4 linked regions of the Diceros bicornis minor genome follow. The protein of the gene in region 2 interacts with the protein of the main gene of each other region in a biochemical or structural test. Links are inferred from orthologs where the notes say so. Each region holds a gene or a part of one and is shown on either strand. Other genes may lie near its edges. The genes, in order: DCUN1D5, CUL3, DCUN1D4 and PEF1.

The links.
Region 1: the proteins of CUL3 (region 2) and DCUN1D5 form a complex in vitro, tested with the Homo sapiens proteins (2 studies listed by BioGRID, with this or other methods). The link is inferred for Diceros bicornis minor from reciprocal best matches to the Homo sapiens genes CUL3 and DCUN1D5.
Region 3: the proteins of CUL3 (region 2) and DCUN1D4 form a complex in vitro, tested with the Homo sapiens proteins (2 studies listed by BioGRID, with this or other methods). The link is inferred for Diceros bicornis minor from reciprocal best matches to the Homo sapiens genes CUL3 and DCUN1D4.
Region 4: the proteins of CUL3 (region 2) and PEF1 form a complex in vitro, tested with the Homo sapiens proteins (2 studies listed by BioGRID). The link is inferred for Diceros bicornis minor from reciprocal best matches to the Homo sapiens genes CUL3 and PEF1.

The regions. Positions count from the first base shown.
Region 1 is NC_080746.1:31,996,890-32,004,301, reverse strand, and holds the start of DCUN1D5 (DCN1-like protein 5), read right to left. Parts: upstream 3,018-7,412; 5' UTR 2,764-3,017; coding exon 2,678-2,763; intron 522-2,677; coding exon 430-521; intron 1-429. UniProt on the Homo sapiens protein: Contributes to the neddylation of all cullins by transferring NEDD8 from N-terminally acetylated NEDD8-conjugating E2s enzyme to different cullin C-terminal domain-RBX complexes which is necessary for the activation of cullin-RING E3 ubiquitin ligases (CRLs).
Region 2 is NC_080776.1:14,112,530-14,119,749, forward strand, and holds the start of CUL3 (cullin-3), read right to left. Parts: upstream 3,012-7,220; 5' UTR 2,612-3,011; coding exon 2,546-2,611; intron 1-2,545. UniProt on the Homo sapiens protein: Core component of multiple cullin-RING-based BCR (BTB-CUL3-RBX1) E3 ubiquitin-protein ligase complexes which mediate the ubiquitination and subsequent proteasomal degradation of target proteins.
Region 3 is NC_080747.1:40,350,491-40,358,014, forward strand, and holds the start of DCUN1D4 (DCN1-like protein 4), read left to right. Parts: upstream 1-4,520; 5' UTR 4,521-5,073; coding exon 5,074-5,236; intron 5,237-7,524. UniProt on the Homo sapiens protein: Contributes to the neddylation of all cullins by transferring NEDD8 from N-terminally acetylated NEDD8-conjugating E2s enzyme to different cullin C-terminal domain-RBX complexes which are necessary for the activation of cullin-RING E3 ubiquitin ligases (CRLs).
Region 4 is NC_080752.1:46,549,074-46,556,002, forward strand, and holds the start of PEF1 (peflin), read right to left. Parts: upstream 3,005-6,929; 5' UTR 2,714-3,004; coding exon 2,690-2,713; intron 1-2,689. UniProt on the Homo sapiens protein: Calcium-binding protein that acts as an adapter that bridges unrelated proteins or stabilizes weak protein-protein complexes in response to calcium.

The sequences.
Region 1 (7,412 bases), on a different chromosome or scaffold from region 2:
TTTTTACTATGTCTCCTAAAAGTGTCAGAAAATGTCAGTTTCTAGTTCAGAAAAATTTCAAAAGAATACTGAAAAGAACTATATAACGTATAAAATGTTTTATTACATACTTTGTGTTTTCCAGAATACCAAGTCCACTTTAGTCAATGGATGTAAACCAGTAAGTGAACGTGTCTGCTTACAAATTGTATTAACAGTAAATGAGTTTCAACCCTCCTACTAAATATATACTGAATTATATATTTACAGAAAATATCAGCCTGAAATGGCACCAAATTCTTAGCCTACCCACAATTCTCAGCCTTGACCCTGATTGCAGCACACAGCACTAACACATAGCAGGCCTGCAATAAATAATTCGTTAAAATAATGAACCAAAAAACCGTTTTAAAGCATGTGACCGATATCTTCTTATATTAATTTCATTACCTGCATACTCATAAAACCAAGCCAGGCACTTCTTGCTTGAAAAATGTTCCTCTCCACTTATTAGTCTAGCAGGGGGTTGGGATCTGCAATAGCTTAGAAAACACACAAATGCCTAAGAATTTTATCAAGTCTCAACTTTTAGTGAAAAGCTAAGTTCAATATGAACTACTTCAATTCAAACTAAACAAAGTATTTTTTTTTACAGCTGGCATTAGAAGAAAAAAATTGGAGTTGTTAAGTATTTGCAATTTGAAACAGTACATTAAAATTTCTGGCTAACAAAACCCAAATGCTACTTTGCTCATTATCAAATTCCAAAAATATCAACTAAAATTAATTCCCCAAATTTCAAAAGACCACACAGAAGTTCAACCTAATGTTCTCAATGCAGGACTGGTACTTGGGAAAACATAAATCTTTCCAGTGATCCTTCTGCTGATTTGCATGAAAATTATATTTGTGTATAATAGGTACACATTTGAAAACAAAATCTTACAAAGTATATTTTGATACTTAATGAATCAATATTTCAAAATAAAATTATGTATTAAGAGTTGTTCATCATCAACTAAGATTAAATAGATATTTAAAGATAAAAGATGATTTACGACCTATGGGTAAAATTGAATTCCACAGATTAAAAAAAAAAAAAAACAAAAAACTCCAAAAGATAGAAACAGTACAAATAATTGGGCCAAAGCTATTTAATCCCAGAGTCTGTTTATCTTTTTCATAAAACCATTAAAAGTTAGGAATTTCATAAATGGCCATAGGATTTAATGAACTTCAGAGAACCTTCTCAAGAAGCTCAAATAGTTACACCACCATAACATAGAAATGCTATAACTTCTGCAACTGACTAATGTAATGTAACGTAACGTAAAATAAGGGTACTATATTTAAAATTTTAAGTTGATTGAGCAAAGTATCACCTGAGTTCTAATAATATTGACTGCTCAGCTATTTTAATGTGCTCAATTTAAATAATTTTGATACATTATACACTTAAGATGACTACAAGTTAGAATAATAAAAAACTAATTTGTAAGTTTCATAAAAATATGAGCTAGTGGAGTAACCATGTTAAATTCTAGTGTGAGTTACCAAGAGGGATATGAAAACAGCACCATCTTTCACAGTAACAGCCCAAGAAATATCCTTAGGCTCCTTTGCCAAACACAATAATGAAGGAAAAAAATTTAACCAATTATGAAAAGAAGATGCAGACTAAATAAGCCACCGACCTCACATTTTAAGCAGGTCTCTCTTTAAGGAGAGCTCTATTATAATCTCCTCTTTATAACGCTGGCTAGTCTTCTTTTCATAGCAGCACCTAAAGTTGTCACATCAAGTGCCAACCACTGATACAGCCAAAGACATCCAATAAGCGGATTTAAAAAACCCACTTCTCACGCCTAAATTGCAATGATTTTTTGCAGCATACAAGGTTGCTGCGATGCTCCAATGACATGCTACAATGGGATCAAAGAGCTATAACTATAGCTTTGCTTTGTTTTCTTTTTCTCCAAGAGGATACAGAGTACAATAGCTTTCAAATTATTAATATTTATATTGAGAACTAACAGCAGAATGCTAGAACACAAAACGCATACAGGGCCTTTCCAACTCTGCACAGAGGGACTTGGCGCAGGTGGAGGCGCTATCCTTCCAGAAAATGCAGCTCCTGCGATTTAAAGGCCTGCTGCTGGGATCATCCGGGTTAGACCACTCCAACTACTACCGGAGATCAATTATAGCACAGGGAGCTTTCCTTTCTACCATCCCCATGGCAGTTGTCAGGTCAAGAGTCCTCATGCTCTGCTCCTTTCTTCACACTCTACAAAGAAATTCTAGAAGTGACCATTCCGCGGATCTGTACTCACTTCTAGGTCTGGAAAGAAGGCCAGGGGGTGGGGGTGGGGGTGGGGGTGGGGTGGGATTGAGGGTGTAGCGGGTAAGGGGAAAGAGCGCAATTTACGTACGCATTCCTGTTTCCCCACCCTCCAGGGCACGGAGACTCCAATGTGAGGAGACTTCCAGTCCCTCCATAGGCGCCAGAGCGCACACACCGAACACGAGGTGGAGCCGGCGCAGGCACTCGCGGTGTCCTGCAGCCACCACCTAGCTTTCTCAGAGTGGGCTCACCTCTCCCCAGCCCGAGCCCCGGAGACCAGGCCCGCCTCCTTCTCCCCTTGCCGTCCGGCGAAGGAGGAAGGAGGAAAGATTGAAGGGTGGGGGGAGGTGGTACCTGGAGATTTTACACTTTTTCAGGCCTCCGTCTTCCGCTACTGCCGCTGCCACCCCAGAGGATTTTCTCTTCTTCTTCACTGGCATCTTCCGCCCTCCCCGGCAGGGTGGGCAGGGGAGCCGGGGAAGGGGATCGCTGTCCGCTGAAGACTCCTCAGTGCTGACACCCGGTTCCCAGAGACAGCAGCAAGTGAAGGAGCAGAGTCGCCAGCCCCCACCAGAGCGGCCCAGGCCGGCCGCCGCTCGCTCCCAGATCTCCTCCTCGTCCTCCTCGGCTCGGGGCAGCGGGTACTCCTCGCCGGTGGACACTGCAGCTTGGTCACACCGGGAAGAGAGAACGCGGACAGCGCGGCACCGCCACCACTCACAGATTCCGAGAGCAAGAGACTCAGTCCGACCTGGAAGCGAATCGCCCAGGACCGGAAGTGACGCAAGCTCAGAGCCGGTCGCCGGGAGGGGCGTGGCGCCGGTTGGCCCTGGCTCGCCGTCAGCCAGGCTGAGCGACGGTGCGTAGCTGCCAGGAGTGGAGAAATCGTGAACTGGTGGCCAGTTGACCGTCTTTGGTTGTCCAGGCTATCCCGACCTTTCTCACGAAGCTTCCATCCTGTCCTAAGGCTGGTAGTCACCCTCAAGAAATGTTTTATGAAACCACTAATACTCTGCAGTTGGCGTTACAAATAACCTGGTAAAGTAAACCAAGTTTCACTTCTGAGCTCTTCCATTCGGTAACCTCACGTTAATTGTTCCCCACCCCTTAAATGCTTGTTTTCTTTACGGGCCGGCGATCAGCCTCCCGCTCTCCCACCTCCATTTCTCCATCATCCCTGACCTCTGCTTCTCATTTCCCCTTGTTAAAACTTAGCTCTACCATTTCTGTTTCCACAGAGCTCACCTTTCAGATAAGCGTACGTGATCGCTGACTTAGTAAAGAGAATTTGGGGGACAATTCTAAGGGGCCTCCCCCCAATCCTTACTACCCAGTACACTTGCAATCACTCCAGCTCCACTTCAGTGAAAATATTGTTTATAAATAAAGGTTACTGCATGTAAAGATTATATAGTAGAAAGTCGTTTTACTCAATATATACATGTAAAATAAGTTCACATCTGTAAACCAACTGTGATGGTAGAGGACTAAAAGTCTCTTTAAACTCAATAACAGTTGATGAGGTTCTGGTGAGACTACCTCCATCTTGGCACCCTCACCTGGCCAATCAGAATATCATATTTCCCTAGTGTCATTAATTGGTTCAGAACAGACACATGACTCAAGACCTGCTAGTCAGTGCCATGATATGAAACTGAACCATCAGGAAGCAACTTTATTTCCTATGGACTGAACTTGAGAGGATGTGGAGAATGAAGCCAAAACTCAGAAGAGACCAGAATCAAGCAGAAAGACAAAAACCAAGACATGATTTTATGAAATGAGCCCTGAATCTATGTATGCCCTGGAATTTTCAGATACATGAGCAATAAATCTCACTGTTTTGGTTATGCAATTAAGTTCTCTGTTACTTACAACCAAAAGAATATTGTTCTTGAATGCTGTAATCCCACAACGCAGTTAAAAATGCATGAGGCCAAAAAATCAAATCTGAATAAGGTCAAGTCTCTAAAAAGAAATGCCATCTGTAAGTAGAGGATGGTGGAACATATTAACACTCAATGCAATCAGCAAATCTATATTGTCAGAAAATCTACAGGAAAAATGACCCAGATTCCATAACAAATTATTATAAAGAGAGTGGGAGAAAGAAATTTTAAAAGATATATCATTTTTCATATGTCTTATTTGAATCTTGATTCAAATAATTTAAACAATATCATGACATTTATGAGGCAATTGGGAATTTGAACACTAGCTGATATTGATGAAATGCTAGAACAGGCAAAACTTATTTACAGGACAGCATCAGTGATGCTTGGGGACTGGAATGGGATGAGGATGGAGGGGGAAGACTGCAAGGAAGTACAAGGGAAGTTTCTGGATAATAGACATATTCTATGTCTCGATTTAGGTGGTGGTGTATATACTTGTCAAAATTCATTGAACTGTACAATTAAAAGTGTATGCCCTTTATTGTATGAATATTATTCTTCAGTAAAGTTGATAAAAAAAAGTGTGAACCAAAAAACAAAACAAAACAAAAAGACATGACAAAACACCATTAGAAATAACCAAGCTTATTTCTTCAATAAGTGAGCTGCAAAAGCTAAACATGCCTTTCCCCAAATAGGACAAAGGAAATGGAATAAAATTCTAAAAGATAAATACTAAGACCTCAGAGGGATATCCTTCCAGAGAGCAGAATCAAGGCCTAATTAAGGGGTAAGGAAGCTTCATAATGCCTGTCTAGCAGGATACCAGCACTGCTATGGACCAGTGACTATTGCACATCTTCCATTCTTCTCTAAATAGGAATATTTATTGTGGTTATTGTGTCCATTCTCCACTGTTGTTTATTGCATGAGAGTGGGGAGCAGATAATTATCTCTTAGTTTATAGGTCACTGGACCATAAAGAACTACTTCTAGACCTAAGGAAGAAGACCCCACCACACCTGGAGATTCTGGAGATTCAGCTGAATGCAGTGATTGGACAGGAGCCTACCTGCATCTGTAGAATTCTCTGAAAAATAGATAAAAGACTGGGTTTATGTATGGTATTCATTCATCCAGTCTGTTATTCAAACAATATTTAATGATCACTTAAACCAGGAACTGTGCTGGATTTAGGGATATAAAGGCAGGCATGACTCCTGCATTCATGAAGCTTACAGTTTGGAGGGGGAAATATAAAGCAGCAGCCTATTTGTACTTAAGAGAACTTTATGAACAAAGAATAGGGTCAGTAATCTATACTCGTCAATAATATTAAGGAGAGGGTGATTTCCAGGGTCATGTAGACTGTTTTCTTCATTGCCTTCTCTGATCAGTACCTACTGCCACCACCATACCTCCATTCTCAAAATGGAGCATTCCATCATCCCAATTACTTTCACAGAAGGGGCATATTGATAGCATCACTGCCTGTGAGCAGTATAGAAATGCCTAGTTATGTAGTTTTAATCTTTGCTGCTGCTCACATGGATAGTACATTATTTTCCATCAAGAAGGCACCTATAATGGAGAAACAAACTATGACAGAGTACTGTGGTTCTTTGTCATGTAGTAGAATTTTTTAATGAAAGTAATGAGAAGGAAAGGAAGGGATGAAGAATTTACCTTAAGCAGAAACTCATGTGTTCTGGTTTCAACTCCAAAGAAGACACTCAGTGCCCTTAGGTAAGACACATAACTTCCTTTATCCTTCATCTTATCATACTGTTACATATAAGGATATAGAAAAAAATAACTAAATAATATCAATCTGTAATGACAGTGGATGTATATTTATGCGAAATAGAGCAGTAGGCAAAAAGACTTGACTGGGCCATAGCTCTGTCATCTGTTTGACATGTTGGTTATATACATACCCCTTAGCTCTTGGGGGTTATAGAATGAAGCCAGGAAAAACAGCTTTTAAAATAGCTGTATCTGTATTAAAGCAGCCAAAAATAGTGCCCTAAAATGTGCTAATTTATATATTCTGTTTATTTTATTTTAGTTCATTTTTTTCTTACCACCACCTTAAAATAGGGCATTTCCACTTGCCAGAAAAACAAGCAACACAGAAATTAAGTGATTTGTGGGATGCCACATGTTACTGTAGTCCTGGATCTATACGAATACTCTCCATACATTAACATTGATTTTCAAAACAATCTTGTAAGTCAAAATTTTGTAAAATATTTTCATACCCATAAACCCAGAGAAATAGGATGTTAAAACAGGACTTTCTGTTTTGGAGCTTCAATAAAGCCCATGAGAACTTGTGTTTTAGGGAGGCCCAACAGTGCAGAACTATGTCACACCACGTACCCCATACCTCCTAAAGCAGTGTGCTAGAGCACATCAATTGCAGCCTGTCTGTGGGCCTGGTGCACTCTGGGACCCAGCCTGAGGAAGTAGCCACTATCTGGAACATTGCCTGTCATCACGACAGACAGAAAGGAAAATACGGTGAACCCCATGCTGGCTGTTAAAGGTTCTGCCCTGAAGTGACGTGTATCACTTCTCTTTAAGTCATACACCTGAGGCTACTCCTGAGTTCATCAGGATAGGAATGTATAATCCTCTTGCAGAGAGGGGCACCAAATAAAGGTAAATACAGTCTACAACAGTATGGTATTGGAATGAGATTTTATTCAAGATCCAGGGATGAATGAGTTCACAGAGTAGTTTTAAAGGGGTAGTAGGGAAAAGCATAAGATTAGTTTCTGCGTATACCTCACTGTGGTAGATTGTATTTTCTAAAGATGGTTGAAATGATATCTCTCAACCCACATATTCTTCTAGACCCTTGCCACTCCCTGTCAAGAATGGAGTCTAATAAATAATAATAATAATAATGAATCAATATTGGTTCATTAATTGTGAGAAATGTCCCATACTAATGTAAGATGTTAATAATAGGGGAAACCGGGTGTGAGATATATGGGAACTTTCTGTATTATCATTGCAACTTGTCTGTAAATCTAAACCTCTTCTAAATAAAAAGTTTAATTTTAAAAAAGTCAAAGTGGACAGAAATCAATAAATAAAAATATAAAAATATTGCTGGAAGAAAGCAATAAACTCAAGAGAGCCACTTAGGTTCAATGCCTTTGGAAAGGTCAGAATTCATAAAATTC
Region 2 (7,220 bases):
CAATGAAAACAAAATAATCACAAAATATATTTTTACACATCAATTTTATAAAACAGAATCTGAAATGAGCACTCGAGACCTTTGGTTAAACTACAATTTCCTTTAAATTATGGTTAACTATATATCCAAATGGTAATGTAAAATACGATAGTTGTAAGTATGTACATATGTATATACATAAACAGTATTTTTTCTTTATGGAATACTATGCATCTACTACTTCTAACTAGCAATCCACATAGACTATAGTTATGTAAAAGATCACTAACCTGGAAGAAAAAACAAATTTTCAAGGTCTGTAAGTACTCAAACATTTACTAAAGGATAAGTCAGTGAAATACCATACCACTGAGGCATATATCTATACTAAATGAAGGCTCAAGGAACTATGACTTAAAATTTTATATATTAAAAAATATAATAGTTCTTTTCAGCGGGAACTACTTATGATGATGTTAATACTTATAAAATAACGAAAAATCCTTAAACTTCGAAAAATTAGCAGATGTTAACTACTAAATATCAAACACTAGTTTAATATTTTAACTTCATTAAAGGATTTTAGAAAAACGTAGAGGGCCAACAAGTTACAAACAGAAAGGGTCCAAATTAGCTCATACACATAGCGCTACTTTAAAATAATCAGTTTCATCAGTACTGTGTGCTAATCTATCACATAATATTACACTCTTCAGCTAAAGGAATATTCTCCCACCACCTCCTCCCAGCAATGTAAGATCCAGAAAGCAGGCATCTGGGTCTTTCAAGCTATACTGATATATCCCAAGCTCCCACAACAGCGCCTGGCACACAGTACTCCATCTTTGTTGAATGAATGAAAGAATGGGAGAACAGATAGGAACAAGCAAACCTAAAGAGATCAAAGGGTTAATCACACATAGATAAAGGTATAACTGGTTAATCAGAATATTGACATAAGTGAGTTGATGTCAAATGTGAGCTATTCCACATTTTAGTAATAAATCTGAATTAGAACTCAGACTGTAAGAGTAGAAAGCTTTTCCTAGAAAATTTGTTGTATACAACTAAAATTCTGCTAAAAATGGTCAGAACTGATTTAGTAGGAAAACGAACATTACTCGAAAATTCACAAACCCAGCTTTTGTTCCATTTTAAGGGAAAACGTGCTAGTGAACGTCATTAGTGCTCTTTTGTCAACATTTCTCATTTTCTTTGTAGTTTCTCACATTTACTTAAGAAAAAAATTCAAAATCCCTTTCATCAGTATCAAAATACTTAATTCTCCTGAGTATACCCTAGCTTTACTTACATAAAACTAAAAGTTTCTACACATCGACATTAGTATTTACGCTACCACAATTTCAAAATTCTGCATCAGGTGTCTGCATCAGGTCTTTTAAGTTTTAAAAATTCACAGAGGTCCTCAAGTTCAGTGGGTCGGTTTCCTACTCAACTAGAATAACTACACTAATAAGTCTTTCCTCACTGCAAACTACACTTTACAAAAAGCACGCTTAAAAAAGTGAGTACAAACTGCCTCTTCCTCCCTCACACTTTATGTTTATGATTTTAAGCAAGGAAACCCAAGATCTTTCTCTAGCTTTGCTGTTTTAAAATTTTCTGTTCAACTGCTGGTTTGTCTGTCCTGACGTATGCCTGTTACTGTAGCGACACGAGCAAATACGCCTAGTTTCTCTGTTACAACAGCACATTTTAATGCTTGTCATTGGCTATTCGATTCAGATATGACACCCGAAGTTATACCCTATATACTCAACGCCACAAGCATATGAGTCAACGTAATGCTAAAAAAGAAAGTTTCTAAACAGAAAACGTCTGCTGTCACTAAAACCTAGACGGTAAAGCAACTCAGGATGGTGACTCCTCGTTCTTTGGGCTTCCATGGCTAAGAAATAAAGAACCAATTGTCCAATTTGTTCTCTCTGGCTTCCCCTTGAGTGGCAAGGCAGTTTCTGCCCATGAGAGTTGGTAAAGTGCTCTGAAGCCTGTGGATGAGAGATGCTATAAATACACCCATGTTACTGGTACATTACTATACAGCACTACGTGGAACCACTGTCACCGCGCCGGGGGTAGGCGGATGGCACAACCCTCCCCGACGGGGGAGGAGAGGGAGAGGACAGTGCCCTCCATCATTCTAAAGGTCTGGCTGGCCGTCTCTTCGGCTGGCTTCTTTTCTCACCCGCAGCGAAACCACACGTGAAAAGTTACACACGCGCCCCACACAAGGACTTCGCCCGTCCCCATCGCGGCAGGGCCGGGATCCCGGAACCCGGCGCCCGGCACCGGGCCGGCGCCCGGGGCCGCGGGACCGGCGAGGGGGCCCGGCCGGCGGCGCCGCTCCGCGGCGGGGGCGCTGGGAACGGCCCAGGAGGCCCGGCCCGCGGCGCCCCGTTGCCGGGAGGCTCGCGCCCCGCGGCCGGCGGCGTGGGGGAGGGGAGGCCGGGCCTGCGGCCTGTTGGGGGAGTTCAGCCCGGGCCTCGCGTGCGGCTCTCGGCCGGGCCCCCGGCCCCGGGGTCCCCGGCGCCGAGCGGGGACTCACCGGAAAGGCCCGGATCCGCATCTTGGTGTCCTTCCGGCTGCCCGTGCCTTTGCTCAGATTCGACATGGTGCTCGTCCCCTCCCCGGCGGCGGCTTCGGGTCGCACTCCGAGGCGCCGGTGTCACATCTAAGGCGGGCGGGCGGGCGGGGGGCGACGCGGGGGGCGGCGGCGGCGCGGCCCCCGGGCTGGGCTGGGCGGCTGGCCGGCCCTGGGCGGCCGCGGCGGGGGCGGCGGCGGCGCGGGCTCCGGCGGCGCGGGCTCGGCTGGGGGCTGCGCTGGCGCGGCGGCTCCGCGGCGTCCCCCTCGCGCCCGGCTCGGCTCCCTTTATCGCGCTGCTCCGCGATGGCGGCGGCGGCGGCGACGGACAAACATCTCACTGCGCAGGCCGAACGTCCTCCTCCTCCTCCTTCTCCTCCTCCGCCTCAGCGAGACGAGATCCGGCCCAGAGGGTGGAGGGGGGAGGAGGGAGGGAGAAGAGCCGTAGAGTGGAGAGATTGGGGGAAGGGGGGGTGGGAGGACGGGAGGGGAGGCGGGCGGCCGCGGCGGGGACGCTCCGATCTCGCGAGAAGAGGGCGAGCGCGCGGCCCCGGGCGGGGCGGGGCGAAGCCGGGGAGCGGGAGGGGACAACGGGAGGGGAGGGAGGGAACCGGGAGCCGGGGAAGTGGGAGGGACCCGCGGGGCGGGGAGGTGGGAAAGGGGCGGGGCCGAGGGCGGGCGGAGTAAACTGCCTTTTTGAAAGGGGAGCGCTGGAGACCGGCTGTGGGCGGAGGAGGTTGCTGATTGGTGGAGCGCGGGGCGGGGGTGGGGGTCTTGGTCACGTGGATGGAGTGGGCGGGGGAAGTTCTGAGAGCCGGAGCGGGACTGTAGTGGGCTGGGTCCGGCTGGCCTGGGTCGCGAGGGTAGTGTCGGGGCGGGCGTGGGGTGCGAGATGGATAACCATCCAGAACTGGTTCCTGTGTTTTTCTAGGGCATGTGGACTAGGGATGGGTATTTGAGCAGAAGCCAGAAAGTTGAGAGAAGAGTTGGTGCTGGAGTTACCTGCAGTGTCAGAAATTAGGGTCCTGTATGCCGGGTATTCGGATTGGATGTGCACACCCCACCTTTTAGGACTGAGGGGTGGAGATGTTAATCCACAAAATTTCCTTAAACTGCAGACGCTTCAGGACTTCTTGATTCGTTGATACTTTCTGAGGGACCCAGGACTTATTAGTGTTAAAAATCTGTTTTTCGTTACCATTGAAATGAAATGACAATGCCTTTTATGTAGTGCAATATTTTGGTAAATGGTGTTAAATAGAAGATAGGCTGATAGAAACCTATCTTTAACCTGCCAAATCATTTTTACTATTACCAAGAGTACCATAGATTTTGAAAGCCAAAATTGTCTTTGATTCCACTTTGCTAAAAATTTGGGAATTTTTTTTCTGTCATTGTAGTCAAAAGGTCTAGTTTGATTCATTCATTTTGCTTTCTATTTATTATGAATTTTACTTCCTAATTTACCTCTTTGCTCTATTTGGATTTCTGACTCTGCAGAGGAATATGTGAGTTCCCAGTTAAGTTTGTGAACTTCTAAATAAGATGGGTATCTACATTTGAGAGCTATTATTTATTTTAATACTTTTTTTTTTTTTTTTTTTTTGCTGAGGAAGATTCACAATGAGCTAACATCTGTTGCCAGTCTTCTTTTTCCTTGGGGAAGATTGCCCTGAGCTAACATCTGTGCCAATCTTCCTCTATTTTGTGTGTGGTTTGCTGCCACAACATGGCTGACCAGTGGTGTGGGTCCGGCCTGGGGATCTGAGGGGAACCTAACCACTAGGCCATGGGGCAGGCCCCAATTTTAATACTTTTTTTAAACTTGAGTTTTAATACTTTTTTATAGCACTTGGAAGCTGGGGGGTTTTGTACTTTTTTAAAATAAGTAAACTGAAATCGTCTGTTTTATTTGTTTACTATAAGGTTGACCTTGCTCTAAATTAATTTAATCCTGATGACTAAATTTAAGAGTGTTGTTTTCATCCCCTACTTGGTTGAAACGCTCCACTGGAAATATCATATTTTCTTGTTTTGTTTTCTGGTATTCACTAATGAAAACACGAGCTTAAGAAACAAGGATGTTGCTTGAAGCAATATCTGTATAAATACTGAAGCTAAAAATAGGTCATCCAGAACTGGGTTGATAAGGTAAAACTGGGAGGGGCTCTGATTTAAATATAAGATGATATGAGTCTTGGATAGGAATTTATAATCTGTGTGCTGATTATAAATTCCTGTGTGCTGAACCTCCATTTCCATAATCATTAGAATATAATAACAGCCAATGTTTTTCCACTGGTTGTTCTGTCCTGTGACCCAGTTTCTTTGTAACATAAGAATATATGTTCTGGAACCAGCTCTACCACTTGACTACCTGTACTATGTGGCTTTTGTGGGCAAGGACTTGACTGTTGGTGCCTAGAGTTCCTCTCATCTGTGAAATGGGGATAAAAATAATACTTCCTCTTTGGGCTACTGTGAAATTTAGGTAATTAAAGCATTTTAAAAAGCCCTGAGAGCAGTGCTCAGCACAGAGTAGCCACTCAACACCTGTTGGCTATTATTATCATGGGTAGTTAAGGTCAAGTTTATACTAACTTCCTTTAACCAATATGTAGATTTCTAAAAACACTTGTATGCTTTCATAAAATGAATATTATTTTAAAACTAAGCGAGTCTCCAACACTTACATTTCACAAACCAGTAAAATATTTTTTAAAAAGCCGGGAACCAATATGGGGTTGGCAACTTTATTTTGGCAACTAAGGGCATTAAAAAGACATAACTACCATCGACTAGCCTCATTATCTTTTTTTTTTTTTTTTTGGTGAGGAAGATTGGCTGTGAGCTAACATCTGTTGTCAGTCTTCTCTTTTTGTTTGAGGAAGATTGGCCCTGAGTTAACATCTGTGCCAATCTTCCTCTATTTTGTATGGGGGACGCTGCCACAGCATGGCTTGATGAGCAGTGTGTAGATCCATGCCAGGGATCCAAACCTGTGAACCCCAGGCCGCCAAAGCGGAGCGCAGGAACATAGCCGCTACGCAACTGGGCTGGCCCCACATTATCTTATTTTTTAAAAAAGTATTTTAACCACAGAAATGGGAGAAGGTGAGTTTTTGAACAAAGAACGGTTCTTTAAATTGGTTAATTTAGCCCTATTGAAGAACAATACACAGAGCTGATTTTTCTCGCTTAAGTGTGAACCTGATACAGCATCATGGGCCAGATTTAGGAACCCCCTGCAATAAGGCACATTTCTGTGTAATTGTGAAGCATATAATCACCCTTTAATTTGTTTGTTTTGTGAACCCAGATTTTTACGTGTTGGTTTTGCTTAAGCAAAATTTAGCTGCATTTGAAAGAATCGCTGTCAACTGTGTCTTCCATTAGGCTTTTAACCACAAAGACCCAGAAAAACTCTTCAAAATGACTTTGTATGTCACTGCCATTAAGAAATCTACTGCTCATTTATTGGTTCATTCAAACCAATTGGTTCGAATAAATGTTCAAGAAATAGTTATTTAATGGCTGCTACGTGTCAGGCACTAAGGTAAATAAGACAGATGAGATCTGCCACCACAGAACATATAGTCCTTTTTCACATTTCAAAATTTGGAAACCACAGACCCAGGTTAGACTGGCAACTTCCTATACACTCCAGTTCAGAAATCAGAGATTTTCCTTTGTAGGAAACCAGCATCCTCAAAATGTATGTGAAATACTCTCCAAAGCAGCAGTAGACTATTCTTCTGTGCCCGGTGGTATTCCCTGACTTGCAAATAGCAAATGAACTTTCAGGATATCGGTTTTTCTGCCAACTGCCACCTGATCCAGCAGAGAAAACAGTGCTGGGAGAGGAACTCACTGGATGTTGCATGCCTGCTGGTTGGTTTCCTACTTATGCTGACTGAGTCCTGACACAGGAGAACAGTGGCCTCATTTCCATTTACTCATATGGAGCACGTGCGGTCAGAGAATCCGGGAGGCTGAATGGGCCTGCCCCTTTTGTACATCTCAGTCTAGAAATGGACAGTACAGACTGAGAAACCAGTGAAAGGGAATAGCCTCTTCTTGGCCTTGAGTTTCTAGGTATCCAGGATACCAAGCCACTTGTATCACTGTATCAGACCTGCTGATTTGATTGTGCAGATATTGGTTATTAAAACAGCTGACAGCCTACCAATTCAATTAGAAAGACCTGTTCAGTGGTTTTGAATAGACGAAGACTGTGTTAGGGAAAGATGTATGTTTTTCAAATTGCATAGAGAAGATTTATAGATATTATATCACTTCCTTAAAAGTAAGGGCTAGATCTTCTACTTTCTTCCTTGTCTCCACCAGGCAACTAATGAGCATCATAGGCCATTAGATTTATAACATTTAGACCAGTAACTTTGGTATGTGCTTTATAAGATGACATGTTATAGGAGTATCCCATTGCAAACATAGCCACAGATACTTGAAAACTGTAGGTCTTGTCCATGCACCTTTTCTGCTTTGTCTTTACTATTTTCTTTATATGTATCATCGAGACAGGAAGCATATGAGACACATGAGCATATAAGACGCCATATCTTGAATTAAAGAAAAATCTTAAATGTCTATTATAGCACCCAAACCCATCTCAAGTTTT
Region 3 (7,524 bases), on a different chromosome or scaffold from region 2:
ATATTTATTGGTGAGGAGAATGATGTTAACACCTTCCTCTCTGCCATTTGGTTTCTTTTCATTTTCGCCTGGCTTTTCAGCCTTGAAAAGCCTGGATCTTGATCCTTTTTTCATGTGCTGGTGGAGTACTGGGGAGTGAGGTGGATTCCTGTCTGTGCTGTGCTGAGGTTGTTCCAGGAGTGCATTGGCCGTGGAGGGTTGGGGGTTGAGTCAGGGTGGGGCTAGAACTCCCCTCTCTGGTTGCACATTAGGATCATCTGGGCTGCTTGAGAAAGGATCGACCACTCCCATTTTTATTTAATTGATCTGGGTTGGTGCCCTGGCACTGGCATTTTTTTTCAAGATTCTCAGGTGATTCTGATGTGCAGCCACTGGATTAGTTTTAAATAGCTAAATTTGTGAGCTGGGTTTGGTTTGGGCTGTTGGGGAAGGGGACTCAAAAGATGCATAGCTCTTCTACGGGCCCTGCCCTCGGAGGATAGCACAGACCCTTCTTGCTCACCATGTGACATTATAGCCAGGGCTCAGGTAGCGCTTACCGTGTGCCAGGCTCTGTTCTAAGCGCATTGCAGCATTAACTGATTTAATCCTCACAGTATGCTTATGAGGCAGGCACTGTTATTCATTTTATAGATAAAGAGATTCCTACTTCTGGCAGTGAAGGGCATGTGATATGAAGCTGTCCGACAAACCTAGCTTTTGGTTTTTCCTAGTTTTGTGGTATAAAAAACTCATTTCAAATCTTTGTGTTTTAGTAATTTGGCCTTAAATGTGAATATATTTGTTTTTACGAATGAGACATATACCTGTGCCATCGCGTATAGGTAAATGACTGTCAGCTGGGATGCATAGGTGTAAATTGATATTGTAGATCATTTAAAACACTACTTTTTATAGTGTCAAAAAAAAGTTGACTTCTCTTTATAGTAGATTTTATATTTCAAGTCATTTTGAGGTAGAATTCATTTTAATGATCTTTTTTACTTAAAATTACATTTTGTACGTTTTTTTTTTTTTGCTGAGGAAGATTCACCCTGAGCTAACATGTGTTGCTGATCTTCCTCTATTTTGTATGTGTGCTGCCGCCACAGCATAGCCGCTGACAGACAAGTGGTATAGGTCTGCGCCTGGGAACCGAACCCAGGCCACTGAAGCGGAACATGCTGAACTTAACCACTAGGCCGTTGGGCCTGGCCCACTTTTTATACTTTTCTTTTAAAATCACATGTACTATGTATGTGCGAGCTCATATGTAGATGTGCTCTGACTCCTGATCTGGCCTGCTCTTTACACTCTGGCTACTGTAACCTTCCAGGATACTAAGCAAATCAGCATTTTAAACATGCTCAAGTCTCACCATTGTAAAACCCAAATGGAACATTCCCTCAATCCCATGTGCATTTCTAGTCTCCCTTTCACAGTCAAACTTCTGGAACAAGTTGTTAAGCTTGACTTAGTGTGTCCCTCACCTCCTGGTCTATCCTTAGCCCTCTTCGTTCTGACCTCAGTTCTGGCATTGAAGTCTTCGCTGAGGTCACGGAGTAACATCCACGTTGCTGGATCCATTGACGACTTTTAAAGCATTCATTCCCATATTCACTGGTCTCTGTCATGTGTTAGGCTAGCTATGCTAGGTATGGGGATACAGTGGTGAGCAAAGCAAAAGAAAGTCCCTGCCCTCCTGGAGCTTGGGCTTGAGGGAGAGTGACAAAGGACAAAGATTATTGACATTATAAAATATAACATCAGTGTCACAAAAGACCTCATGGTGTATGATTCCATTGATATAAAATGCCTAGGATGGGCAAATCTGTAGAGATGGAAAGTGTGTTAGTGGTTACCTAGTGCTGAAGAGGCACGGGCAGGGATGGGGAGGTATTCCTAGAGGGGTGAGAAAAATACCTGAAGATTAGACTATGGTGATGGTTGCATAACTGTGAATTTACTAAAAACCATTAAATCGTGCACTTTAAATGGGTGTATTGTGTGGTATGTGAATTATATCTCGATAAAGCTGTTAAAGAATGTCAGAAAGTGACGAGTACTATGCAAAAATCTAAATCTGGTGGAGATGGATAGGGAAGTCAGAGGAGTCCTCTCTGGTGAGGTGACATTTGAGTAGATATTTCAGTGAAGTCAACTGTCAGGCCTTGGAAACATCAGAGGTCATCAAGGCAGAAGGTATATTAAATGCAGACGCCCTGAGGTAGGAATTCACTTGAGTATTCAAGGAAGAGTGTGGCTGGAATGGAGTGAGCAAGGATAATGGAATGAGATGACTTAGGTCAGATCATGTAGGGCCTTGTAAGGACTTGTTAAGGATGTGGATGTTTTTCTTTTATGCTGCAGTAACAAATCCAGAATCTCAGGGGTTGAAATCAAAGGTTGTTAATATCCTTTGCAGGTTGGCAGGGGTCTCTGCTTGACATCATTGACATTCTCATTCTCAGTCTATCTGAAACCCATAGGAAAGAGGCCTCCTGTTGCTAGAAGGAAGGAGACAAGGCAAACCTAAAAAATGGCTCTCAAATACAGAACACTGTTGGCTTTAACAACGAAGTTTTTTTCTTTTTCCATATCACTGAGCAAAATTGATGTTTCAGGATGGGCCATGTAACCTGTTGCTTAGAGAACTCCTAAGCATTCCGTGTTGAATCCCATTAGAGAGGCCTTGCCCTGCTCGACTGGATCGTGTTCTTGTTCTGTCCCAGAAACATTTAGGATGAATGCTGATATTGATAACCTTTAATTTTGTCCAGTTTTGTTTCAATATTTTGGCACTAACATGGTCATTATTCTGCACCACCCCACCAGAGCCTTTACTGGTTTAGTTTATCATTTTCGTTGTCATCAAATATCTGTGCATAGTGATGCATTAAAAACTTTTATACTTGAGAGCATTGCTCACTGACTCACCCACTGGAGTTTAAGCTAATAATAAAGTATTTTTATGACTCGATAGTGACCAGAAGAAAGAAGTGTACTTGAAATAGAAATAACATTGGTGTTATTGGTGATATATTTTCTGCACATCTTTTCTCTTTTTTTAAAAAAAAAAAAACTTGGTAAATTGTTTTAGATTTAGCCAGTTTTAGTAACTTTTTTTTTTTTTTATGAGGAAGATCATCCCTGAGCTGACATCTATTGCCAATCCTCCTCCTTTTTTTCTCTTTTTCTCCCCAAAGCCCCAGTTGGTAGTTGTATGTCATAGTTGCACATCCTTCTAGTTGCTGTATGTGGGACGCCGCCTCAGCATGGCCGGACAAGCGGTGCGTCGGTGCGCGCCTGGGATCCCAACCCAGGCTGCCAGTAGCTAGTAGCGGAGCGGGCGCACCCAACACTAAGCCACGGGGCCGGCCCTTAGCCAGTTTTAGTAACTTTTTAAAAAATATTACTCTTAAGTTTGTGTGCTTGATTATTAACAACTTTAGGTGGGAAATGCTGATTTTTCCCTTTATGGAACATGAAGATCAATTTTTGCTCTTGTTAGAAATAAGCTAGAAGGAGGAATGGACTTTGAATTGGGAATTAGAAGATGTGCATTATTCCCGGCTTGGCCACAGCTAGCTGTCTGACCCTGCTTGAGCTAATAAAACGAGGAGAATTGGACAAAAGGACATGGAATGTTGAATGGTACTCTCTCATCTCCCAAATGCTGTCTTAGTGGTTTTTCCTTACAGTACAATCACATACATTTTATATAGAAGTTAGTTCTAAAGTCCATATGTAAGGTGACGATCACTTGTATTAAAAATATCGCTGGAAATACGTTCAGGTGGTGCCCATTGGAGATGGTTTCGGATACAGGCAGCTCTTCCTCCAGCGTTGGAACGGATCGCTGGCTCTGGAGTTGAGCACCAGTTGAAGCAGCTGGCTTGCATTTAGGGACCATGTTTTATTAAAAAAAAATCTTTAAATACTAGACTCCTAGAGTGTTGTGAGATGCACAAAATGTGATTGGCACATGGAAACTGAGGCGGACCGAGTGACTGTGGGATTCGTGTTGCCCATCTCCTGCTCATTAAGTAGAAGGGAAGGCAGTTCTGGGACAACTGAAATTTTTTTGTTCTCTCTCCCTCCTTTTTTTTTTTTTTTGCCAAGTGAATAAAGTTGAATTTGTGTGAGTTAAACGTGGATGTTCTGCAATCCTGCTGTACTCAGGATTTCTCTTCTCCGCTTGTATTGCCGCTGTCTAACTTAAGGCCGTAATCATTTCCTACTTCAGTCTCTTCCAGTAGTCTTCATGAAAGGCCACTCTAAATCCGGGCCACCCGTCATCCATGCCACACATTTGCCATAGAGGGATCTTTCTAAAAAACTCCGGGTTTTAACACTTCCACGGCACCCAGAGCCATAGCAGTGCTTCTCAAACTTCTCCACCAGCATTCCGCTGTGGCAGAAGTTCAGTAAATTAGGTACTCGCAGGGTGCTTGGAGCATAGTTCGGTGTGGTGAAATTTCTTTAAAGTCTTGTGCCATAATCATATTTTTGTTTTTATGTAAAAGTGTTGTAGGCAAATTACCATTGAGTAAAATTGATGCTGCTTGAATGCACCATGTTTGTTTGTTACATTTGCATGCCTTTGGGTGGCTCAGCTGGAAATACAAGTCCTTAGGAGATTAAATCTAAACTCTTAAGCAGGGTTCACAGATCCTTGTTTTCTGACCTTTGCCTTCCTTTTGAGTCTCCTCTTTTATCATGCTGCTTCTCACATTTGAAGATCTAATGGTGTGGATGCACTTGAAATGCCCTGAATATATCGAATTTAAGACTTAGTGCCTTTGTACCTGCATCCATTCATTCATTGAGTGTGTACTGAGCACCTAATATGTGCCAGGCATTGTTCTAGGTACTAGGGATACAGCAGTGGACAAGACCAAGTCCTGACCTTCATGAAGCCTGCATTCTAATGGGAGAGGAATATGACAAACAACTATAAACAACTATATAATATAAAGAAAAGTAAAAGAAAAAGAAAGGTAAAGCAGTGTAAGGTGATAAAAGAGTAAAGAGGGAGTCCTGTTGTTGGTCTGGCAAGTTTCTGTAAGAAGGTGATATTTACATGGCAACCTGATGAAGTGTGAGAGCAGGCCATGTTACTATGTTATTATGAGAGGTAAGAGGGCTCAAGGCAAAGACAACAGCGTGTGCAGAGGCCCTGAGGTACGAGTGTGCTTGGAGTGTTCACAGAACAGCAGGAAGGTCACTGTGACTGAGAAGAGGGAGCGAAGGGAAGGTGAGTAGGAGATAAGATTGGATAGATGGGTAGAGGCAGAATGTGCAGGGCCCTGAGTCTGTAAGGATTTTTCATTTGTGTTGAATGCCTTCCCCTTCCATCTGTAACTATTGGGTGAGGTTGGAACTAATTTTAATTTGTTCACATTTGCTTCTCCATTTACTAAATAATTATCTCTTCGCCATTGATTTGAAAGGCCATTTTATCATACGTTAATTGTATGTGTGTTTAGACATACATATATATTCATGCGTACATACATATGTTTATCAACTCTTTTCCATTGATTTTTCTTCTTGCACATGTACCATACTATTAAAATTACTGTACCTTTATATCAGGCGTTGGCAAACAATAGCCCATGGACCAAATCTGGCCCACCACCTAGTTTTCATAAATAAAGTTTTATTGGAACACAGCCACACTCTCTTGTTTATGTATTGCTTGTGGCTGCTTTATGAGTTACAATGGCAGAGTAGTTGCAACAAAGATGGTATCGTCCACAAAGCCTGAAATATTTACCATCTGGCCCCCTACAGAGAGTTTACCAACCTCTGCTTTACGCTATGTATTGGTATCTGATAGGGTAAGTTGTTCCTCATTCTTCTTTTTCAACAATTTCTTGGCAAGTCTAGCATGTTTGTTCTTTCAGATGAACTTCAATCTGCCAAGTTTCCCTGACTCCCTTTTCCACACCTCTTTTTTGGGTGGGGATCTGGGAGGCCGAGAGAATAGGAATTTGACTGCATTTATTTTGTAGTTTAGTAAAGGGAGAAGTGATCACTTTACAATACTAGGTCCTTCCATTCCAGGAATGTAATATCTCTACGTTTATGTCTTTTGGTAAACTTTTATTGTTTCTTCATCGTATGTTGTGTATTTAAGTTTATTCCTGTAAGGATTATTGCTTTTTGTTGCTATTGTAATTGAGATCACCTCCCAGCTATGTTTAACAAGTGACTATTTATGGTATAAAGGAGAGGTTTTGATTTTTATGTACTTAAATTGTTTTTGACCCTCTTATGGAAGTAAACTCTTTTAGGACTGTTGATTTTTAAATTTGATTCTTTGGGTTGACAGTCGTTGTCTGAACTTACTGATAATTGTTTCATTCCTAACATTTGTGTCTCCATCTATACTGTGGGATTCTATGCCTGGGGTGGTTTGGGGGAATGGATTTAGACCGTCTCACTGGCATTCATTTTTTTTCTTTTATATTATGCAGGTCACAGCAAATGGTAATTACAAAAAAACTCCCCAAATCAGAAAACTTGATGCCCGGTCTACATTTGTTGGTAGTTTTAAGAATACCTGGAAGACAGTTTAGGCAAGCTGTTTGTTAAGCAGGTTGTGCCTTTTTGCAGAGCCATTTGTTACAGGATATAGGGTTTGCATGTCACGCTGGACTTGTAAACCTGTGTGACATGCAAACCCAGTCATTGCTTTACTGTGGAGAGCCGTTTGATCTTGGAATAAAATTGATTTAACCTAGCATTTATCCTTTGGAATTGAAATATGAGCAGAAGGAGATTTTTATGAATCAGTTAGTGCTTTCCTAAATACGTTCTCTGTAAAGCATTTGATCTTTACCCTTAATATCTGTTCCTTAAGGATGTGAAATCTATTTTAGATTTCAAGGTCTGTTACTTGCTCTGAGCACTGAATAGATGAACCATAAATTCAATATATGTTAACCTTTGTGGGTTAATCTTTTAATGCCATTTTTGTCCTTTTTCCCTGAATTTGTGTCTCCACCTTAGCTTCTTGGTGAAACTAAAGATAAATTATTTGTGTTGCTGGTTCCTTTTCTTTTTCCTGTTTTTTTTTTTTTTTTTGGTGAGGTGATGATGGAGTGGTGATGGTAGTAAACATTGGATATGGAAATGGAGAATTGCTGACATATGTGATGTGTGAAATGAACTTTGTTACTCTCGTTGCCTGTGAAGTGAAACTCCGTATTTAGAACCTGGTCCTAAATGCTCGTGTATATTTTTTCCGCTGTGTTGAGATTCACTTGGACCATCATTATGAACATCAGCTGGTGGTGTATGAACATAGCAATGCCATCATGGTCTGTAGAGATGTATCAGGCCGCATGCGTCAGTCATAGAAGAAGCTCCAACTCTGGGGTTTTTGATGTAGGGCTTTACTTGGACCTACGGAAGTTAGAGACCATTTTAGATAACTGTGGGGTGTGGAAAATGGTATAAGCGAATTTAGTGATAATGATGTCTTTTATTGAGCACTTATTGTGGTCCACGCATTGTAATGGGTGTCTGCCACATCTA
Region 4 (6,929 bases), on a different chromosome or scaffold from region 2:
AACAATAGGCTGGAATCCTCCAGGGCTATGTACTGGGTGGAGGGGAGGTGGTGCTCACCAAGCCTTTGGACGCTTTAAAAAAAAATACATTTCCTTTCTTGGAACACCATGGACCAGGAGCTGGACAGGCAGACAAGGATATGAAAAAAAGCACTTTTTTGCTATTCCAGCATTTCTTCTTCCGTTCCAGACACGTTTCTCTCTGTGCTCCTTTTCAAGATTTCACTGAGCATAAGCCCAGGCAGCATGGCATGATAACAGCATTTGTAGCAGCGGCAGCACTGGCACACACTATGTGTTAGCAGTGTGCCAAGCTCCCTATAGGCTTTATATTTCATCCTCATTTCAGTCCTATGAAGTCTTATTCCTCCCTTTTTACAAGCGAGGAAACTGAGGCTTAGAGCCCTTAGATGATGTGTCCAAGGGCATGTAACTATTAAGCAGCAGAATTAGGATTTGAGCCCAGTTCTGTCTAACCTGCAAGATCAGGTTCTTAATTTCTATGTCACTGTTTCTAGGATGCATACAAAGTACCTCCTAAAGCTTATTAAAATGTAGACACCTGGCCATTCCTGGGTGCAGAACAGGTCTGAGGTGGAACCCAAAAGTGTGTTTTCAACAAGCTTCTAGGTGATTCTGACGCAGGCTGACTGTTTCCCCAGTGTTCCTCAGGAATACTAGTGTTACCGAAAAATGACCAGACATAAAAAAAGGGAGGAGGAGGGAATTCCATGGTTGGTAAGTTTAAGAAATACTGCATATTCTATCCCTTGTTAGCAGATTTACAATGTATATTGACAAATCAAGAATTCTGAGATGACCTATGGTGAACCAACTTATTCAGCTGTATTTAACAGAGTATTTCCCTGATGCATTTAACCACAAAAATCCTCCTCCATTAGCAATACCTATCAACATCTCACAAGACTCAGCAAATGGAACGGAGCTTGGGAAACACTGCTCGATTATACTTCTTCCTAACCCTCGCCTAGGCTGGCCTCTCTCTTTCCTACCCCTGCTAAGTATGCAATGAAAGGATTTCTAAGTTCTAGCCCGGGCCTCACCCCCTCACTTGCTATGTGTGACCCTGGGCAAGCCACTTAATCTCTCTGGGCTCGTTCCTCAGCTATCAACTGGGGGTAATAATCCCTGCCGGCATGCCTCCAGGGCTTCATGATTGAGATAATGGAGGTCCAATACCTGTACAAAAACTGTACAGGGCTACACTCCCTCAGAGCGCTCTTGCCACATCCTTTGCCATGTGACTGTACTCATCGACTGCTTTGTAATGTCCCATACAATGTTGTCTTCCAATTTTTCCTGCATGGGTTTTATCTCCTAAATTAGCATGATCTTGGGCAACTCAGTAGCCCTCTCTGGGCTTCAGTTTCCTCCTTTTAAAATGAAGGGAGTGGGCCAGCCCCGCTGCTTAGTGGTTAGCTGCTGGCAGCCTGGGTTCGGATCCCAGGCGCGCACCGACACACCGCATCTCCGGCCATGCTGAGGCCGCGTCCCACATACAGCAACTAGAAGGATGTGCAACTATGACATACAACTATCTACTGGGGCTTTGGGGAAAAAAAGGAGGAGGACTGGCAATAGATGTTAGCTCAGAGCCGGTCTTCCTCAGCAAAAAGAGGAGGATTAGCACGGATGTTAGCTCAGGGCTGATCTTCCTCACAAACACAAAAATAAATAAATAAAATAAAATGAAGGGACTATTCTGAGGGCCCTCCCAGCACTGACCTTCTAAGAATCTGGTAAAAATCAAAACACTGAGAGGTAACACCTGTTACACTCTTAGTAGTACCAAATGCTTTACAAGCATCACTTCATTACTCTTCCCAACAGCTCTATGAGGTAGACTCTATTATTTGGTCCTATTTTACAGAGGAGTTAACTTCAGCTCAGAAAGGCAAAATACCTTGCTCAAGGGCTCCAAACTAGTTAAGTGATGGAGCTAAGATGTGAACCTTCCTCTGACTCCAAACTGCACTTACCCCTCCACACTTCCGTCACCCAGCAAAGGATTCTGGCCACAGAACCACCTCGCTGCGGTGTTCTTGGCTGGATCGAGATGGGTTGGCAAGTGGGGAAGAGGCACTGGCTGACAGCTCTGGGTTCTGCTGCCTAACTGCCTAGTCACTTCAGCTAAGTTCCGTGTCTTCTCTGGGTTTCATTTTTCCTATGTGTGAAAGGAGGCGGGTGTTGGACGAAGTCAGTAGTCAAAGAAGCTCACCTGTGGAGCCTGCTAAGCCACAGAGGCTCCTGATTATTCGGATGCAGTACGTCTGGGGTGTATTTTTATCCGACGCCCCAAATGATACCGACGGAACTAGCGTCTAAATGTTCTACTGGCGTTGATGACCCCGCTCAGGGTCCCCGCCGGAGACCTGGGAAGGTGTGGGGCCAGGCCGAGCCCAACCTGGGTCTATGAGATCCAAGTCCCCCAAATCCTCCCGTGCGCCACGTCAAAGGGGGCGCGACACGACCTCCCCGACGTGCAGTCCTACGTGACGTGACAGACGCGACCGACCGTCCCCTTTCCCTTCTCTTCCGCGCGAGACCTCGCTGAAGCCAACCGCAGCGTGGGAAGGGCGCGAAGAAAGCGGGGAGAAAGGAAAGCGAGGTCCCGAGCCCGGACGTAGCGAGGCCCCTACCTGGATTCCCCCGCCCCTCACGCACTCACCTGCCCATAGGGATAGCTGGCCATGGCGACTCTGACGTAACACGTCGACGAGGGGCGGGGCTTCCTGGTTTCAAACCCGTCCCTTGTCTGGGCCTAGGGGCGGGACCGCTTTCGATTGGATGTCCGCGACTGTCAATCCTGGGCGCATGTGTCGACGGAAGTGACGGTATAGGGCGGTGGTCGAGTGACTCCGGAGAAGCGGGAGGGGCTTCTCCTGAACGTCGGCGTCCTGTTTCCGAAATTTTGTTCGTTGTGTTGGCGCGGATGTTTCTCCCACTGCTGCCCTAGAGTAGGCCACAGGGCTGGTCAGTCCCGGATATTTAGTGAGAGGCTTGGGTGGGTGTTGCAGCAGTGGCCATGTTGTAACCTGGCAAATGGGACGCATGATAGTGGCGTCGTTGCTGTCGTCACTTCAAGTTTCCGCCGCCGGAGGGCTTAGGCGGTTGCCCTGACAACGGGGAACCGCCTGAGGCCTCGTGGAAAGGCTAGAGGCAACAGCGGAAGTACAGATGTTCCTCTTATGATGAGGAACCCATCCTAAGTTGAAAATATCTTAAATCAAAAGTGCGTTTAGGGCCAGTCGTGTGGCGCAGTGGTTAAGTGTGGGCGCTCCGCTGCTGACGGCCTGGGTTCGGATCCGGGCGTGCACCCACGCACTGCTTGTCAGGCCATGGTGTGGCGGTGTCCCACATAAAGTGGAGGAAGATGGGCATGGACGTTAGCTCAGGGCCAGTCTCCCTCAGCAAAAAGAGAAGGATTGGCATGGATGTTAGCTTATGGCTGATCCTCCTCATAAAAAAAAAAAAAAGTGCGTTTAATATACCTAACCTGCGTTTAATATACCTAACCTACCCAACATTGTACCTTACTTAGCCTAGTGTACCTTAACCGTGCTCAGAACACTACAATTGGGCAAAATCGTCTAACACAAAGCCTATTTTATAATTAAGTGTTGAATATCTCATGTAATTTGTTGAATACTGAAACTGAAAAAATAGAATGGTTTTATGGGTACAGAATGGTTGTAAGTGTATTGGTTGTTTACCTTGGTGATACCATGGCTGACCCCTTTGACTTGTGGCTTGCTGCTCCTGCCCAGCATGATGAGAGAGTCTCATACCACGTATCCCTAGCCTGAAACAACATCAAAATTCTAAGTATGGTTTCTACTGAACGCATATCACTTTGGCACCATCGTAAAGTCGAAAAATCATTAGTCAAACCATCCGAAGTCGGGGACTGTCTGTACTTACTCTCTAATGTTGACACCACATGCCAGTTAGTACCTTTGAGTAAGATCTGTGGTCTTTGGAGAAGAAAGTACCACACCGTCAGAGTGGGAGGAAAGTTAGATCATCTAGGGCCTTTTCTTTCATAAATGGGAAAATTGTGGTCCAGAGAGGCTTGCCCCGGTTCGCAGTGGGTTAGGGCAGAGTGTGATCTAGAACTGAGGTCAATGGATGCCCGGTTCTCAGCAGAGTCTTGACTGGTCCCCAAAGTAGGTCAGATCCTGGTTACAAGTGACCTCATAGTCAAGTACTTAACTTGCCTCTTGGTAATTCGGGCTCTACACTTATTTGAATGCTTATTCGACTATTTTGTTAAGTTCTTTCATGTGGGCACAGATTGTGTCTGTTTTTACTTGTTGTTATATCCCCAGTACCTAGTACAGTGCCTGACACTGTATTTTTTAAAAATAAGTAAGTGAGTAGTGTTATGAGGTGTTATCCATTCCAGCCCAACTTTCTAACCATCTAGCCAGGCGCTTTCCAAAATCACAGAACCAATCATGATGCTTGCCCACTGGACAGCCTGCAATGGCTCCTCTTCATCTCCACCTAGAAAATACGGCCCAACCGCTTTATTCTGGCACTCCAGGCCCTTGACCTTTGGCCCAACCTCACATTTCCAAACTTATATCTTACATCCCCTGCCCGTCTTCCCCTCTGTACTCCTTTGTTCAGTTCCACCATCCAGCACTCTTGCTTTGGAGTGAGGATCTTGATTTACTGCTTTCTAACTGTACGACCATGGGCAAGTTATTTAACCTTTGTGAGTCTCAGTGTCCTGGCTGTCAGAACAAATATGTAAAGAGATTTGAAAAAGAGGCTTATCACACCTGCTCATGCCCAGGCTTATGCCCAAACCACTCCTTTCATCAGATCAGCAGCCTTCACATCTCCAGTCTTTCAAAGCTCAGTTCCAACCCCACCCCGCAACTACCCCTCCCTCATTCCCGCAAGTCCAGAGTTAGCCACTCTCTTGCCTGCCTCCTTTTGCACTTGGTACTGTCACTGTGCTATATTCCAGCCTGCCTTGTGTAAGAGTTCTCTTTGATATTTTTCCCAAAATCCATTCCTCTCCATCTCAGAAAATCCACCCAGTCTCTCAGGCCACAGACCTAGGATCACTCTTGTGTGGTCTCTGTTTTTCCACTAACTTCCCCACCCCCATTTGGTCTAGTTCAGAAATAGACCCTGCTCTATTTCTGAAATAGTAATACTAGAAATAGTAATACTAGTAACTAGTATTACTAATACTAGAAACTAGTAATACTAGAAATAGTAACATCTGCTCTTTTCTCCCTGTTTGCGCGATCACCCTAGCCCAAGACACCATCCTTTACGGCCGGGATCACTACAATAGCTTCCTGACCCATGGCCCTGCTTTCACTTTCCCCCACACTCTGTTCTTCGTAGGGCAGCCAGAGTGATTGTCTTAAATGTAAATCAGATAATGTCATTCCTGGGTTTAAACTCCTCCAGAGGGTTCCCGTAACTCTTATAAAATCTAAACTCATCCTTATGACCTTCATGGCCCTATATGACCAAGACCCTGCCTGCGTCTCTGCCTCACTTCCTGCCACTGCTGTCCTCCTCAGTTCACTCCAGCTGGCCTGGTCTCCACACCAAGCTCATTCCCACCTCTGGATTTTCAGATTAGCTCTTCCCTCTGTCTAGAATGCTCTTCCCTAGGCACTTCACTGGCTGGCCCCTCCTGGCCATCCAGGTCTCAGTTCAACTATCACCTTCTTGGGGGAACATTCCTTGATACTACGTCTAAAGTAACATAGCCCCCACTGCCACCACATTCTAGTTGTCATATCACTGTGTCTCATTTTTTCATGATACTTGTTGCTAGTTGAATTGTCCTCTTTAAAGTTTACATGTGTATTGTAGGATTGTCCTTTTCTTATTCACGCCTCTATCTCCAGTGCCTAGAATAGTGACTGGCATGAATTCAATAAATGGTAGTAGTTATTATTATTATTATCCTGTATTGAATGCTTACTAGGTGCCAGACATTGTGCTAAGTACGATGTGTTGTTTCATTTTCACCACAGTCCTTTGTGATAGATTCTATTACCCATTATAATGAGGAGCTGAGGCTGAGAGAGACTAAGTGACTTCCCTACTATCAAAAAGATAATAGAGAAGTCAAGATTTGAACCCAGGTCCACAATCTTTTAACTGCTGGGTACTTAGTAGGTCTTGTGTTCTTTACTTTTGTAACCACCTCCCCTCCAAGTCCCCAGAATAGGTGGAATCGAATTGCAAAATCTCAGAAGGGGAGAAGTCCTGCAGTCTGGGCTGACAGTCAAGGGATATTTGCTGGGAGAGAGAATAGTGACACTTGGCCTGCAAACTGGGGTAACATGATGCACATTCATTTTATTCCACAAACGTATTAACTTAGTGAGTTCCCATCACTTGCCAGGCTCTGTTCTAGGTGCCGAGGATTAGACTCCTATGAGAATTTCACACCCCAGCCCTCTCTGCTCAGCAAAGGGCTCTTAGGAGAGCGTTCTGTGGGATATCTGTGCTCTCTGGGGGCAGGGCATCCCAGTCATCTCTCGGGCAGTCAGAGACCAGCCAAAGCCAACGTCCTGGGCTACACCTCTGAGGACCTGTGGCAGGCCCAGGTGTGTTTATTTTGGAGAGGAGTGGAAAAGAGGGAGATGGGGATCTTCCCAAGACTGAAAAACAATCAACTCATTTCCAAAACCTCAACTACCTGAGGCCGACAGAGGTGGGTGGGGAAGTTCCTGTTATTGTTTCATCTTTAGCCAAAGGAGAAAGCTTGGATTCCAGCCCTTTTTAGAGCACAGAGCACTTTCCTGAGTTCATGGAAGCACTGTGGTTGAGCCATTAGAGGGGAGGCAGAGCTTGGTAACGGAAGCCCCATCCCCTGGAAAACATCGCCTCCCCTAGAGACATACCATTCCTCCCAGGCATCCTGG